Linked DNA regions of Caenorhabditis elegans. The protein of the gene in region 1 purifies or fractionates together with the protein of each later gene. This does not show direct contact. Each region holds a gene or a part of one and is shown on either strand. Other genes may lie near its edges. The genes, in order: nuaf-6 and sel-13.

Region 1 (10,549 bases):
CGCAATATTGAAGCTTTCATGATAGGTAGGCACGTTTTCTACCTACCTACCTACCTACCTGCCTAGGTACTTGACGCTTGCATCTTGTAGATATACACACTTCTCTTTCAAATTAGTTTGTCAGAAACTCCACTGGGAAATGATAAATGTTTCCTGTGTGCTTCTGGAAGTAAGCAAGCTCTTAGGCAAGGCAGCCGCAGGCCGCTTAGATACCATAGATACCAGACATGCTGAATTCTGTGCCTACATCAATTATGTGCTTATCGTAGAATTTTTTCCAGTATTTTTAAAAAATTTTCAAAGTACAAATTATATAAATGTAAGTGAGTCCCAGGAATACCAAAAAAATTTACTCGAAGTTTCGTTTCCAATTTTCTACAGTAAACTTAAATGGGTTCAGTAGCAGGTTAAGGGAAAAACGGTAAAAATAAAACAAATTCTAAAACAAAAAGGCTATCTCACTTCCGGAACTCGAAGAATGACAAAAAAATTAAAAATCGAAATGTTGAACTTTATCTGATAATATTCTGATCATCGCCAAATGTTTCAAGTTTTATGTTTTCGCCTTGCGTAATCCATCACTGTCTTCGCCTCACCAAGCCCTTGTTTTTCAAGTCTCGAATCATCGTACCGGCTAACATGTTTCCGATATCTAGTTCTTTGGGTGGCTTCAATAGTGATAAGCAGTGATAAGTCCGCAACTATCACTTTCTTATAAAGAAGAAAGTGCATGAAAGACTGGAGTCACGGAACGGATAGATCCTTTCGGCAAGAAGGAGATTCGAGAAAAAAGGTGAAAGTTAGACAGAATCTGACGTGGCAAATCGGTTGATAAGAGATAAGGAGGAGTGCGCGTCCTTGATGCTTCATCATTTTGTCTCAATTTGGATAGACTAATGGCATTTGCCGATTACTATCGGTTTTCCCGATCCGTTCCGATACATTAGTGATGATTGTATTAGAAGCTGCATTGGATATACAAAATGAAACATGATAACCAATTTTCGAGAATCCTTCTGAGAAATGAATCGTTTTCAGGCTTAGGCTTAGTATCCGGCTTAGGCTCAGGCTTACGCTTAGGCTTTGGATTTGGCTTAGGCACACAAATAGGCGATTTTCGAGCCTGAGCTCAATTCTTGATATCAACCTTTCCTCAAAATTCATCAAACAACAGATCTAGCAAAGATCAAAAAATTAGGGTTGAAAAAACTTTTGAAATTTAAAAGGCCAATAAAAAAAGTTGCTTATAATAAATGTCGTATTTGGCAAGGACGGGAAATTGATGGATTGCATTGAATGAGGAGGGGAGCGGCTCCTGCAAAAACATGCGCAACTAGGTGTGTTTGATGCAGGAGACAATAATATGGAGTACGTGGATCGATGAGACGCAGTGGTTACTGTACAAATACAGAGAGGGGGTCTCGCGATCAAGTGAGACAGACAGAGGTATTGAGAGCTTCTCTTTCAGCATTTCGTGACAGTTTGAAAGTGAGAGGAGAGTTGAAAAATATTGGAGAACAGGTGAAAACAATATGTATGATGGGCAGGGTTTTACAAAAATGAATCGGTGGTCTGGACAGTTTTCTAGGAAGACTATGCACTTTGCATAGAAGCTTTAAACCGAGAACACTGTCACCAAAATCTCTCTTCAGAGCCTTCAATTTCAAAAAAACTTTACCGAACTTTTTGCCTAAACATACAGAATCACAAGAAGAAGAAGCGAGTAACGCCCGGAAAAATGCAATTCTTTGCAAAAAAAGAACAACAAAACTAACACTAACAATCTAAAATTCTGATCCCAGAACTTTAGACACAAAAACACAAAAAAAATCAGGATGCGAGTTCAAAAACATAAACATCTTTAATACTGCATGTTCTCTTCTTCCAGCATTTTTCTTGTAAACAACGAATTGAGTTCATTTTCAGCAAATTGGAGTTGACAGATTGGCGGAGGCCTCCGGAAAGAGCAAACAAATTTTCAGAAGTTGAACGGAAACTTTTGTAAAGTATGTACAGAATGCATTCAGAATTTGCAAAATGAGCAGAGGGGGTGAAAATAATTCGAAAAGCTGCGCAAAACTACTGTACTCTTCGAAGGCGCATAAAAATTTTCATATAAACTTATGCGGCCGTGTCGAGACCTGGTACCGTATTTTTCCATCATAAATTGCAGCATTTCGCATCCGAGTAATATTTTTTGTTAAAAAATTTAGATTTTTTCCAGGCTGCTCTAATTCTCTTCGGAAATATTCAGCTAAAATTATTAGACCTGATAGATTCCTTTTAACATGTCTAAAATTCAAAACATGTTTAAATTGATGAACACCCGAATAAACGGTGTCAAAACTGGATTGCTAACTTTAAATTTTCTTTGATTTACACTTGATAGAAATTTCTCATTCTAAAATGGAAATTCTGCGTATAAAAGCTGATTGAATTGTGAATTTCTCATAATGATTGCTATTTTCGCCGGTCATACTCAATTTCCAACTGATAACAGCCGTATCGCAAAGGTAAGCACGTTTACTATAATGTTTATGTAATTATATATCAATATTAAGTGAAGTTTTCCGTAAGGGCGCTCTTGATTGTGTACTTACTGTTAAATGCAAAATACGGCATCTGGCTCGACACGATAAATTTTTATTTGAAAAAAGCGAAAAAGCGTGCGCCTTTAAAGAATACTGTAGTTTCAATCATTTGCTGTTGTGGAATTTTAACTGATTTTACATAGTTTTTTGTTTAAATTTTATTTAATTAAAAAATTTTAATTTATTTTTTTAAAAACTAACATAAATCACTTAAAACAGATACATTTTGACAAATCGTTATGAAAAGTCGATAAAAATTCCGCAACAGCACAAGTTTGTAACTACAGTACTCTTTAAAGGCACACACCTCTTCGGTTCCGTGTTTTTGTTCAAAAATTTCGCATCAGGTTAATCGGAATATTAAATTAAATTCGCAAGAGCAGTAAATGTAGTCTAAATGTAGTTTTAAAATAATATTCGAGAGAAGTGTTCCAGCTTAACGCTAAATTTGTAAAAATGGCTTCCCCCTTCAAATTGTTGTTGTTATATCTTTTTTTTGAGGATGTTCTCTTCTCTCAAGAGAAAAAATAGCTTCCAGAATAACAACAACAACAACAATTCAAAAGAGGGTTCATCTTCGAGTATTCTCGTATTGCACATTCTAATTCGCCACATTCTTCTTCTTCCCGCTCTTCTTTACGATGGGCTCCTTGTTATGATTCAGTTATCCGTTTACTAGTCTTCGTAGTACTCCACACTGATTGTAAGCTCTTTACTTGATGCCATAAATATAAATATAACTATTCGAATGAGAGAGAGAGAACACGAAATGGGGAGAAGGGGAAAGGGAAAGAGGAAAGAAAAAAAAAGAAGATGAAGATGAAGAAAAAACACGAAAAATATAACATTTTAATATTTTGAGCACAGTTTTCGAACCAAAAGTGACCAGAGAAGAAGTGGATTTCGACGTTGAAGATGAGGAGAGTAGATGTCATAATTATTCTTTTCGATTGTTTTAATGATATAGTCAGTTGTGGCTCCAGTGGCTGCAAGCGCAGGTCTCACAGCTTTCGGTACCATTTCTATCGGACTTCGAGCATCAATAAGTAATCGTTTTGACTCGTTGACCAGATCTTTTGTCATTCCAACCATCTCATCGAGCTTCTTCTTTTTATAAAGACTATCCGGTGTGGCACCATTTAAAGACATCACATCAGCTGGTAGAAGAACGATTCCACGAGCCAGTAGTGGATGTGTGGCACGAATCATATTGGCGATAGCATACGCGGCTCCGAGATCTTTTGCAACATCGTAGGCCATTGGGAGTACTTTAGTTTCTGGAGAGTTACGAGCAAGAGCATCGATTTGTAGGCACAGAAGAGACCCGATTGTTGATTTGCCATATTCGCATAACTGGAAAAATATTTAGTAATTTTAATTTTTTTTTTTCAAGAAATTTGTCTATTTTATCTACATTTTAGATTAAAAAAAACCAAAATTGGTTTTTCTCATCTAAATTCCGCATTGAAAAATAATGATTTTTTTCTTTGATTCATAGAGCAAAAGAAACATATTACTCAGATGCAAAAGTTTCTGGTTTTTGCTCCAAAAACACCGTAACCGGTCTCGAAGCGAACGATTTTCTTAAACTCGGAAGAGTGTGTGCCTTTAAAGAGTACTGTAGCTTCTAAAAATCACTCAACGATGAGGAAATGGGAGCTACAGTAATCCTTAAAGGCGCACGATCTTTTGAATTTAAGAAAATCACAAAATATTTGCGATTGGGAATATGTTAAATTTTTCGGACATATTTTTTCGAAATTTTTCAATATTAAAACTCACAGCATTAATATCAGAAAACTGCCTATCACCAATTGTTGACTGGCGAGTTTCAACCAGTTTCAGAAGCATGTCAGAGTTGGCACCAGCGGCGAAAGAGCACAGAGCAATAGCAACAGGTTGACGTGGTACAGGAAGTGGAGATATTCCGTAGATTGATGAAATAGCATCCTTCCAGAATTGAAGGCGATACATTGCTGAAGCGTCTCCTTTTCTTGTGTCCACTTTGTCACGAATTGAAGCCAACTCGACGTTCAGTGCGTTAAGCTGAATTTGCCCGATTTTAAAACTATTTTTGGGTCGAATTTCTACAAACCGCGACAATTTCTGGCTGTGCTCGTTTATTGATAGTCAAAATGGCTAGATAACTGTCGATATCGTGTTTTCGAACCATTTCAAGACAACTTCTGAATGCCTCGTCGGCCTGCTGCTTACTGATTTCTAGGAATCGGGTCCTTTTTGGCATCGATTTTGGGATACTATAAAATGGAAAAGATTTATATTTTTAAATAGTTGAAAGACATAAAAGACAAAACAAATTATTACCGTGCACCCGGAATATTGCTAAAGTCTGGCGAACGACTAGGTGTTTTCTTCTTATCATTGGAAATGTTATTATTAGATGAGGTGTCGAGGAATGGAGAGGATTTTGTAGAGAAGTGACGAGCAGAGATTGAAGTTATTCCTGAGAATCGTCGGCCGAGTCTTCTTCCGTTTGAATAACTTCGGAGACACGTCCACTGTGAGTTCCACGAGAAGAGTTTTGTCGTTGACGTTGCTGTTGTTTCAAGGTTCGGAGCATCGCAAATTCTGGGGACATTGCTTTGGCACGGTTGTCGAATGTGATGAATGATGGACAATTGAGTGCTTCGTCGCATGATCGGTCGTGGTGCTGGAAATTGGGAAATTGAAGTAAATTGAAAATGCCAAAAAACAGGAAAATTGATTTTAAAGCTCCGAACTAATTTTTGTTTTAAGTTTTTTAAAGGCGTAGTAGCGAAATTGGAAAAAGAGAAAAAATTGCTTTTTTAGACCCAAACTAACCAAAAAACTGCCAATTTTCGTGATGAGGACCTTTGAAAATTTCTCAAAAAAAATCATGGCGGTTCAAAGTATTGGAAAAAGGCGCATATTATAGCTAAAATCTCAAATTTTGCCAAATTGTCAGTGCCGCCACTGACGGAATTTTTTAACACTTCTAAACTGGCAAAATTTGAGATTTTAGCTGAAAATAGTTATTTTTCAAATACTTTGCACAGCCATAATTTTTTTTGAAAATTTTCAGATATTCTCATTACGAAAATCGGGTTTTCCTCGTTTTTGGTTTAAACAATTTTCATGAATCTCTCCTCCAACTCACTTGATCCTTCTTTATGAAAAGGAATGGATTGGCCAGGAAGGAAGTTCCGTAGATCAGTGCAATCAAGGAGATAACTGTCTGAGCGACGACGTCGGATGGGAGATTGATGAACGGTTGCTCAGTGAGACGCAGGTAGAAACGGTGTTGGGCGGCGGAATAGGCACAATGGAGCAATGAGAGAAGCGAGACGATTGTGATCAGGCTGCAACAGGGGATTTTCTTTTGATATCTATGTCTCTTTTTCTTGTGATTGATGGTTATTTTTTGCTGATTCAAGTGGAACAACTGCCGTGTTCCAGAAACTTTTGGGAGGTCACTCACCGGTAAATAGTACTCGCCATATCGTTGATCGAAGACCAAGAAGCTTTTTGAAGGAGTTTTGAAAAGCCTTATTGAGAAGAGCCTAAATATTGGAGATTATGATAGATTATAATGTAATTCAGACAAAAAAGGTCAAGAAAGATAACAATAGCTGGTAAATAACCAGAAAATAGCCAAAAAAAATTCAAAAAATAAATTGAATATGTACATTTATCAGGAGAGATTGAGAGCCAAATAACAAACAAATAATGGTCTCAGTTCAATGCAAAGAATGTGCAGAAGATTCAGTAATTCTATGAGAATTGAGATTTTTTTGGGGGGACATAAATGAAAATAACGGGAAAAAGTGAATGTTTGAGATTTATATTCAGTATGGCTGACTAGACATCCTCTTCGCATTGGACATGAGTGACGAGATTTGACGATGACTTGATAATCTTTTCCTTGATCATTTTCATTTTCTCATTAGCAACGTTTTTGACTCCAAATCGCTCTTCTAGCTTCTCAAACAACCCTTTCGTTGTGTTATTGATCGATTTTTTGAAGCCCATTAGTAGGACTTTCTCGTAAACTGAGCTCATTCGACCACAATCGATTGAAACTGTGACACTTCGCAGTACGTCAGTGAGAAGGGCTGGGTGATGCTGCTGATTATCCTGAAAAATAACAGTAAATAGAGATTTGAAATAACAATGATAAACCTCGGATGATTTGTAAATGCATCGTTCATGGAGTTGAAATAGAGAAATGTGTGAAACATTTCGAGTGTATGTTACGAGTTTTTTCGATACTTTATCATAAACACTTTCTTCAATGACAGGAACAACTTGAATATCTGTCATTCTCGAAATCCAACGAGGAACACGTTTCAAAATCGAGCTTCCTGAAAAATTATGCGAATAATTTACTGGCTCTTGTAATATCAGCTAAATACCTTGCTTGACAATCAATTTTTTAGTGACAATAGTGTTGTCAGTGATCTGGCGTTCGAGTACATCCTCCGAAATGATGTGTTTTGCATGAGAATTTGGGTATCTGAGGGTTTAGAAATTGAAATTACCATTTTCCGAGATTTCCTGCCTCACCTGTCCCAAAACGCACTGGCAACCTCATCAAATGAATAAGGGAACGAGGTATTCGGAGAATCCCAAAGCTTCATCTTGAAGTTTACTGAAAAACAAGAAAATTTGATGAAATTATTGCAAAAATCGATGAGAAAAGTGTGGAAAACTGTGGAAAAGAAAATAATGAATGCAAATTTCTCGCGTACGCAGGCATCGAAATTCACGACAATTCTGCATACACCAATTGTCAACCGTATTATACTTATTAATTTGCCTTCTGAAAACTTGTTTCGCAATTCTTGAAATGTTTCGATTTTACAATTTTCTGAATATAAAAAGTGAAGTTTAAATGCGAATTATCTGAAAACTCGGAAAAACACAACATTTTATTGATCAAACAACTATGTTATCTTATGAACTCGCCTGTCAGTTGCTGAGCGTGCTGTAAACATCTTTTCTCTTTCAACTTTCCGCTTGTTTCAGATGAAAATAATATGGGTCACACTTCTACTCCTCGTCCCGCAACTTTTCGCAACTCAAGACATTGACGAAGAATTTACACATGAAAATGTGTGGAAAGATCCGAATGATCCAACTTCTGGAGAAAGCCCGCCAGCGTCAAAACGACTTCTATCTGTTCGAAATCAAGTTCAGAAGGTAAACTAAAAGCTTTAAAGAAATCCGTAAATAACCCATTCAATAGTTTCAGCCTGATCAAAGTCTTCGTCTGATTCTTCGACAACTTCTCCACGAAACCAAAATTGACTATCATTTGGAAGGTTCAATTAAAAAAGATGTACAGTGAGTATATTTTCTTCTAGTTCCGATATATTTTAAGCTTTGAATTGCAGAATTAAAATATCTCGGCACAGCATGTCGGTTCTTTCGAAGTATTTAAAAAATGATGAAGCAGATTTGGCTGAAGAGAGAGAAGCCGTCCGATCCGCGTTGTCAAACATTTTCAGCGTGAAGCCTCCAGCTCCAGATCGTACTTGGCAGGATACATTTGTGACTCTCCAACCTTTCATTTTCACACTGAACATCTTCATTTTGCCCGCGGCTGCTTTTGTTGTTCTTCGATCAATCGTTCGGCCACGAAACTTTTGGATTCTCGTTCTCTCAACTGCTCTTCTTGTTTCCATGTATTCTGGTTATAGCAAAAAATATCAAGAAGCAGAATCACGAAGATTTGCACAATTCCAAGAGCATGCTCATGATTCTTGTGCTACAGAAGGATTACTCTCAAGAATGGTTGAAATCCTCGCATCGCCTTTCCAATATCGGCAAAAATCAAAATGTTTAAAGTACATTGAGGTTAGTTTTTGTTTTATTTCTTCTTTGTTGGGTTAAATTATTTTAAATGTTGTAAATTTCAGAGTCAAACCATATCGATTTTCCACGAGATTTCTATCATCGAAGTGTTTTCTGAGACTATTTCCGGAGGATTCTTTGCGTTTTTTTCTGGTTCTGCGAAGCACTTTAATTTATTCTTCAGGTATTTTTTGACGAATTCATAAAAAAAGCTGTAAATTAATTTTTCCAGAAATCTATATGACGGTGCTCCATTGATAGCTCAAATCGTGATGACAATCTTCCTTGTTCTAATGCTTGGAGCTATTCGAACTCCATTCTTTAGTTATGAACCGATTTGTAAGAAATTTTAATTTAATAGTTAAATAACAAAAACTAATATTTTTCAGGGCTCAACTTCTGTAGTTCCAGTATTGGAAAAATCGCGGGTTGGCTGGATGGAGAACCTCCACAGCAGCCAGCTCCCCAACTGCTTATAACAGCAAAAGAGATGAAAAGATTAGAACAGGCAAGAAATAAAAAGTATGATTGCGGTGTTTTTCCTGTTAAATTGTGTGAAATAACGAATATTATTTCAGACCCGAAATGATAAGTTATCCAACATCGGAGCGAGAAGACGTCGTGAGTGGAAGCGAAAATGGGAACGAGAAAAAGAGCGACAACGAGAGAGAGGAGTCGATGAAGATGGAAGAAGACTCAGCTCCGGTGGAATCGTCGCTAGAAGACGATCTGAGCTTACTCGGAGAATCGAGTGAAGATGAGGATGAGGAGAAAGTTAACGGTAATGTTTTGAGCAGGAAATTCAGATGGATTCCAGTTGCCCATAACATAAATTCTGCGAAAAATTCAAATTTAAAAATCATAAATTAACATCTAAAAAACTAGAAAACTAAAATGTTCACCGCTTCGTCCTTTATTGATTTTTGTGTAAAACAATATAAACTTATTAAAAAGCTTTACTTTTAAATTTCAGAATCTCCTGCAAAAATCGACTCAACAACCTTATCAGAATCAAGCTTCTAATGACTCGAAGGTCAACCCAACCCGTTCAATTTGTTATCTCTTTTTTTGTTTGTACAATCAATATTTTTCCCTCTTTTTTGTACATTTTTAGTTCATATCTAGAAATCACTTTTACTAATTTTCCATTCTTTTCCTGTAGATCTTGCCTATTACCTCTTCCTTGAATTACACTTTACTGGTAGTTTTTTTTGTTGCTTTCCTTGTCAATGAATCATCTCCGGTTTCAAAATTAATAGTTCTTTGAACTTGAGATCAAATGTTTACTCATCAAGCTATTTCCGAGACCTTTATGAATCTGATGACGTCTCACGAAGAAGGTTTTCTCAAAAAAATAATAGTCATCATTGTAATCTTTGCTGTTGAATTGCACTGAATTCGTTGAATACATAGACGCAGACAGTAAAAGAAACGAGTCACAGAGATCATTCAAATCAGAACCTTGTTTTATTGACTTCTTTGCTTCCGCTTTTTCATTCAATCAGAACGAAAAAGTTTTACAGATGTCATCCACACGGTTTATAGCTTCTTCTCTTGCCAATGTCACATCACGTGAGTAAATTATTGACTTAAACAATATTTTCTGGAATTTTGCGAAGTCTTGCTAGCATTGCTTCAAAGTTACTGTATCCGGTCTCGACACGACAAATTTCTGCTAAATGCAAAGAGATGTGCGTCTTTAAAGAGTACTGTAGTATTAAAATTTCGTTTCTCCCGAATTTTAAAATTTTCATCAATTTTGCACAGTTCTTCTCAGTTTTCCGATAAAGTTATATTTCTTATTATCGAAAATATTTTAAAAGTAGATAGAAAGTCAGCAGAAATTTTAAACAAAAATTTGAAATTACAGTACTCTTTAAAGGCGCATGCGTGCACACCCTCTTGTATTTTACAAAAAGTTGTCACGAAAATCGCAAAATTTCGCGTCTAGGTTATATTACCCAGTCACGAATTTTAATTAAAGAATTTTTGTTCAATAATTCGGTAATATTCTCGGGAGCGAAAAAATAATTAAAATCTAAAATGTACAGTAACCCAAACCGAAAATTTTCTTATTTTTTAAACTCAAATTATAAAAAATATCTACCCGAATATATTTATTC
Region 2 (4,180 bases), on another chromosome or scaffold:
TTTTTATAACATTTGACTTAATACTATAAAGATTTTTGTATGGCTCCTAGTGGCCCAATATCTTTTTTTGTTGTAAAAATTGTTCGGAAAATGCATTTAAAAAATATTTAATTTTCTGACATAATTCTGAATCGTTATTGAACATTTTTTCTTCTCCAAATCAAAAACGAAAAACGTTTTTTTGCTAAAAAGCTAAAAAAAAAAGCGAACTAATTTTAAATATGATTTCGAGTGTGATTTTTCGGAATAACTGTAAAATTTAAACATTTTTAAATTTTTAGATTTTTATCCGTTTTTTCGCTTACTTTTTTATCAAAAAAAATGCAAAAAACTTTTTTTTTGCCAAAAATACGAAAAAAATCTATTAAAATGCGTATTGCTCGCTATAAATGACATTATTAAATTCGAAAAAATCTACAAATTGCATATTAAAAATTTCAGACAAAACGCTTACTCAAAGTGAAGAACCCGTGGACACATTCAAGATGGAAGGGAAATTTCTCAGATAAGGATAAAGTCAATTGGACTGCCAAAATGAAAAATGCTTTGGCTTTCGATCCGGAAGTAGCAGCGGAGAAAGATGATGGAATCTTTTGGATTGATTATGAATCTGTTCGTCACTTCTTTGATGTGATCTATGTCAACTGGAATGCTGATCTCTTTCCATTCAAATCTGTATATCATGCCACGTGGACACAAGACACTGGACCGATTCGAGATGTTTACACAGTTGGAGAGAATCCTCAATACACGCTAACAGTGAATTTGAATCAGAAAGCTGCAGCTGTGTGGATTCTATTAACAAGGCATATCACTGCGATCGACGATTTTGCTGTGAACAAAGAGTTTATCACTCTTATTGTGTATGAAACTGGGCAAAAGATCTATATACCAAGTTAGATTTTTTTTTGTTTGAATTATATATAATGAGTAAAATATTAATTTCCATTTTCCAGGCAACCCGCAACCAATATCCGACGGTGTTCGTATCAATAGTCCATTGTATTTATGTCAACTCTCGAATAAAAAACCAGGAATTACCAAATACACGTTGGTTGTTGCTCAGTATGAGAAAACCAATACAATCAACTATTCTCTTCGTGTATTTTCAACAACTGATGTTAAATTAGAACCTGTACAGCTTCCCTATTCAATTTCCAAAACTACTCGTGGAAACTGGGATGGCTCTGATAAGTGAGTTTTTTTGGATGAGAAATTAGAATGAAGAGCGTAATCAACAAATATTTAAAAATTAACAAAAATATTTAAGTGATGAGAAAAACGAGAAAAAAAATCACATTCTAAAAATAAATTAAAGATTTTTTTGACAAATCAATTTTTTGATAAAAAAAATCAATTTTCCAGATACCCTATCATGAAACTCACACTTCACTCAAAGTCAGATGAAATCGCTTTATTTATGGAATTAAAAGCTCCAAAACAGTTTTGTGTCGCTTTGGAAATGAAACAAAACTCATCAGATCGAACTGTTTTCTTGGAAACGAAAAGTTCGGGAGCATATCGACCTGGATACACTGTTCTCACACTGGAAAAAGTTCCAGCAGGAAAGTATTACGTGAAAATTTCAACTTATACGGTAAGTTGAAACTTGAAAAAACTTTAAAATATTATCTGTAGCGCCTTGGATCCTTGGATTCATGCAAAAAATAAATCTTTAATTTTCAGGCAGGCGACAAAGGCCCCTTCATCCTCCGAATCGATTCTACTTGCAAATTTGACCTCGAGCCCATTAAACTGTGAATATATATATCAATCTAATCTCGCACGGTGTCTTTTCAATTACAACATTTTTATCTTCATCTTTTTTTAAAATTAGAACTCGGGTTGTATTTTTAATTGCCATTGTATAAATTTTTGTAATTTTAATCGCTATAATTTTTTTCAATATCATGACTTATGTTTTATTCATAATTTGAATACTTTAATCATTACTCTTTCAAAACTAAAAACAAAATTGTATATAGATGAGCCTTAATCCAATGATCGCGAAGCAGAAACCAAATGGAAATATTCAGTGCTTGGTGTGCAATGCAGAGATTAAGCCGAAAATCTGGACGGCACATGTTAATGGAAAGAAGCACAGAGATAGTATTGAAAAGTTGAAGACAAGTGCTCAGAAGCGTGGAAAGGAGAGTTCAACCAGAAATACAGATGAACCACCGAATAAGAAACAAAAGGAAGTACCAAATCAGGGACCAACGACTCTACCCACAGACTTTTTCGATGATGAAAGGTAGTTATTTAATTATTTAAACTAAAATAGATCTTTTTAATTTTCAGCACTCCGTTCCGTAAAGATGATTCAAAAACTGCCACTGTAGGCCACAACTCTAACCTGATTGAAGGTGTTCCTGCCGGATTTTTCGATGATAAGCGGTTGGATGGAAATGTTCGTGAAACTCGTGAAAGAAATGCCGAACTCGATGCCGAATACGAGCGATGGAAAGAGGAGATTGGCGAAGAGCAAGTCGAATTGGATACAAAAGCCGAAGAACTCGAAGCTGCTGTGCAACGAGAGCTGGAACTGGAGCGAATCGACGAACAAATGGCTGCATTGAAGAAGTTGAATGATATGGAGATTCAGAAGGAGAAACGATTGAATCAGGCGAGAGAGCGACGTCTGAAACGAGAAGAACCGGAAGAAGAGGAAGATGATGACGGAGAGGATATTGATCTCGATGCGCTCGATTGGCGAGCAAAGAATATTTTCGCATAAAATATAATTTTCTCAAGATGTTTCTCAACATTTTATTTTATCTAAATATAAACTAAATCTTTTTTCAAAGAAAACCAGAAGAAAAAGTGAAATATTAATTTAAAATTTATTTCTAAAAATTAAATGAAAACCTATCGAAAATCAATTGGATCTAATGCCGAGCTACCGGGACAATGCTAACGACTCAAGAGTACAGTCAAAAATCCAGCTATCACAGCAGTCACAAACATTCCAGCCATGTACTGTCGTGCTTCACTGGCTTCTTTTGCTCGTTTATCTCTCATTATCTGCTCAAATGTGGGGATTGGATATCGAGCTTGATGAGCCGCTTGTTCTCGTTCAACTTGCCGTCGGAGCTCTTCCATTTCTCTTTGCGCTGCTCGACCATCTTTATACATTGATCCGTGCTGAAATTTTCAAAGTTTGCTCTAAAACCCCACCGGGAGATTCTCAAACCTTCTCTTGTGCTTCTTCATATTCACTTTTGAATACTCGTTTCTTAAATCCTCCAAACTCTGCGTAAAACTCATTTGGCATATCAAAATGTGAATGATATTGAGGTCTTCGTCGTGTGCTCCGTTGAAAATGTTCAAAATCTTTGTAGTCAATATCAATATCTGTATATTGTTTTAAATTTGAAGATGTCCGCCGCCGATATCGATTGCTAAATGATGATGGGTCATTAGGCATCGGAGAAGTTCTGATTCGTGTCATATCATATGCTTTTCGTTTATCTTCTGAGCTCAGGATTTCGTAAGCCATGGCAACCTGAAAAATATTCATTAAAAACTCACAGGAAGCAACTTTTATGTTACCAAAATGCAATGTTTTCCGGTTTTTGCAACAAAATTACGGTATTCCTGGTCTCGTCAGGACAATTTTGTTTAAAGTACAATTATGTGTGCGCCTTTAAAGGGGTGTGTGGAATTTTTGTAATTTTTCAACGTTTTTTCACAATTAGTTTTTTATGTGTTTTAATGGTTGCATTTTAGTTGTTTTAAACTAATAAACACATTTTCAAAATTCACAGCAATGAAAGTTTTAAATTACAGTACTCTTTAAAGGCGCACACCCTTATTTATCAAAAAACGTGTTAAACCGTTTTTAGCGCAAAAATCACAAAACGGGATCAATAAGTACCTGATGAAATTTTTTAGCAGCCTCCTCCTTATTTGTAGGATTTGTATCTGGATGATGTTGTTTCGAAAGTTTATAATATGCAGATTTAATATCTTTTTGCGAGGCTGATTGTGCCAATCCAAGAACTTTGTAATGATCCTGTTGACTACTACATGGAACTGATAAGAATAAACTTCGTTTTTGATTGGCCACAGCCAATCGGAGCATTTCAAAGCTGAAAGTATAAGTTCAACTAAATACAGGAAATTATAATGGAAAATGAATTCAAAATGGTAGTTAAACCGAATAAAATACTTTTAATGT

Evidence for each region.
Region 2: the proteins of nuaf-6 (region 1) and sel-13 fractionate together in Caenorhabditis elegans (co-fractionation; one large-scale study listed by BioGRID). This does not show direct contact.

Annotation. Positions count from the first base shown.
Region 1 is NC_003280.10:11,492,364-11,502,912, reverse strand, and holds nuaf-6 (Phytoene synthase), read right to left. Parts: upstream 5,249-10,549; coding exon 4,917-5,248; intron 4,850-4,916; coding exon 4,687-4,849; intron 4,638-4,686; coding exon 4,374-4,637; intron 3,945-4,373; coding exon 3,441-3,944; 3' UTR 3,288-3,440; downstream 1-3,287. Other genes in the region: B0334.20 (uncharacterized protein), read left to right, coding at 2,454-2,513, 3,130-3,270; emc-5 (Membrane magnesium transporter), read right to left, coding at 5,050-5,262, 5,731-5,932, 6,052-6,071; prel-1 (PRELI/MSF1 domain-containing protein), read right to left, coding at 6,432-6,707, 6,753-6,934, 6,986-7,086, 7,137-7,210; ooc-3 (Chloride channel CLIC-like protein 1), read left to right, coding at 7,599-7,772, 7,819-7,916, 7,967-8,429, 8,492-8,610, 8,659-8,765, 8,816-8,948, 9,005-9,207, 9,400-9,449; hacl-1 (2-hydroxyacyl-CoA lyase), read left to right, coding at 9,950-9,998.
Region 2 is NC_003281.10:4,698,030-4,702,209, reverse strand, and holds sel-13 (Zinc finger protein 830), read left to right. Parts: upstream 1-1,985; coding exon 1,986-2,254; intron 2,255-2,301; coding exon 2,302-2,737; 3' UTR 2,738-2,803; downstream 2,804-4,180. Other genes in the region: clp-2 (Calpain catalytic domain-containing protein), read left to right, coding at 442-895, 957-1,194, 1,366-1,597, 1,687-1,761; dnj-18 (J domain-containing protein), read right to left, coding at 2,914-3,144, 3,194-3,505, 3,878-4,084.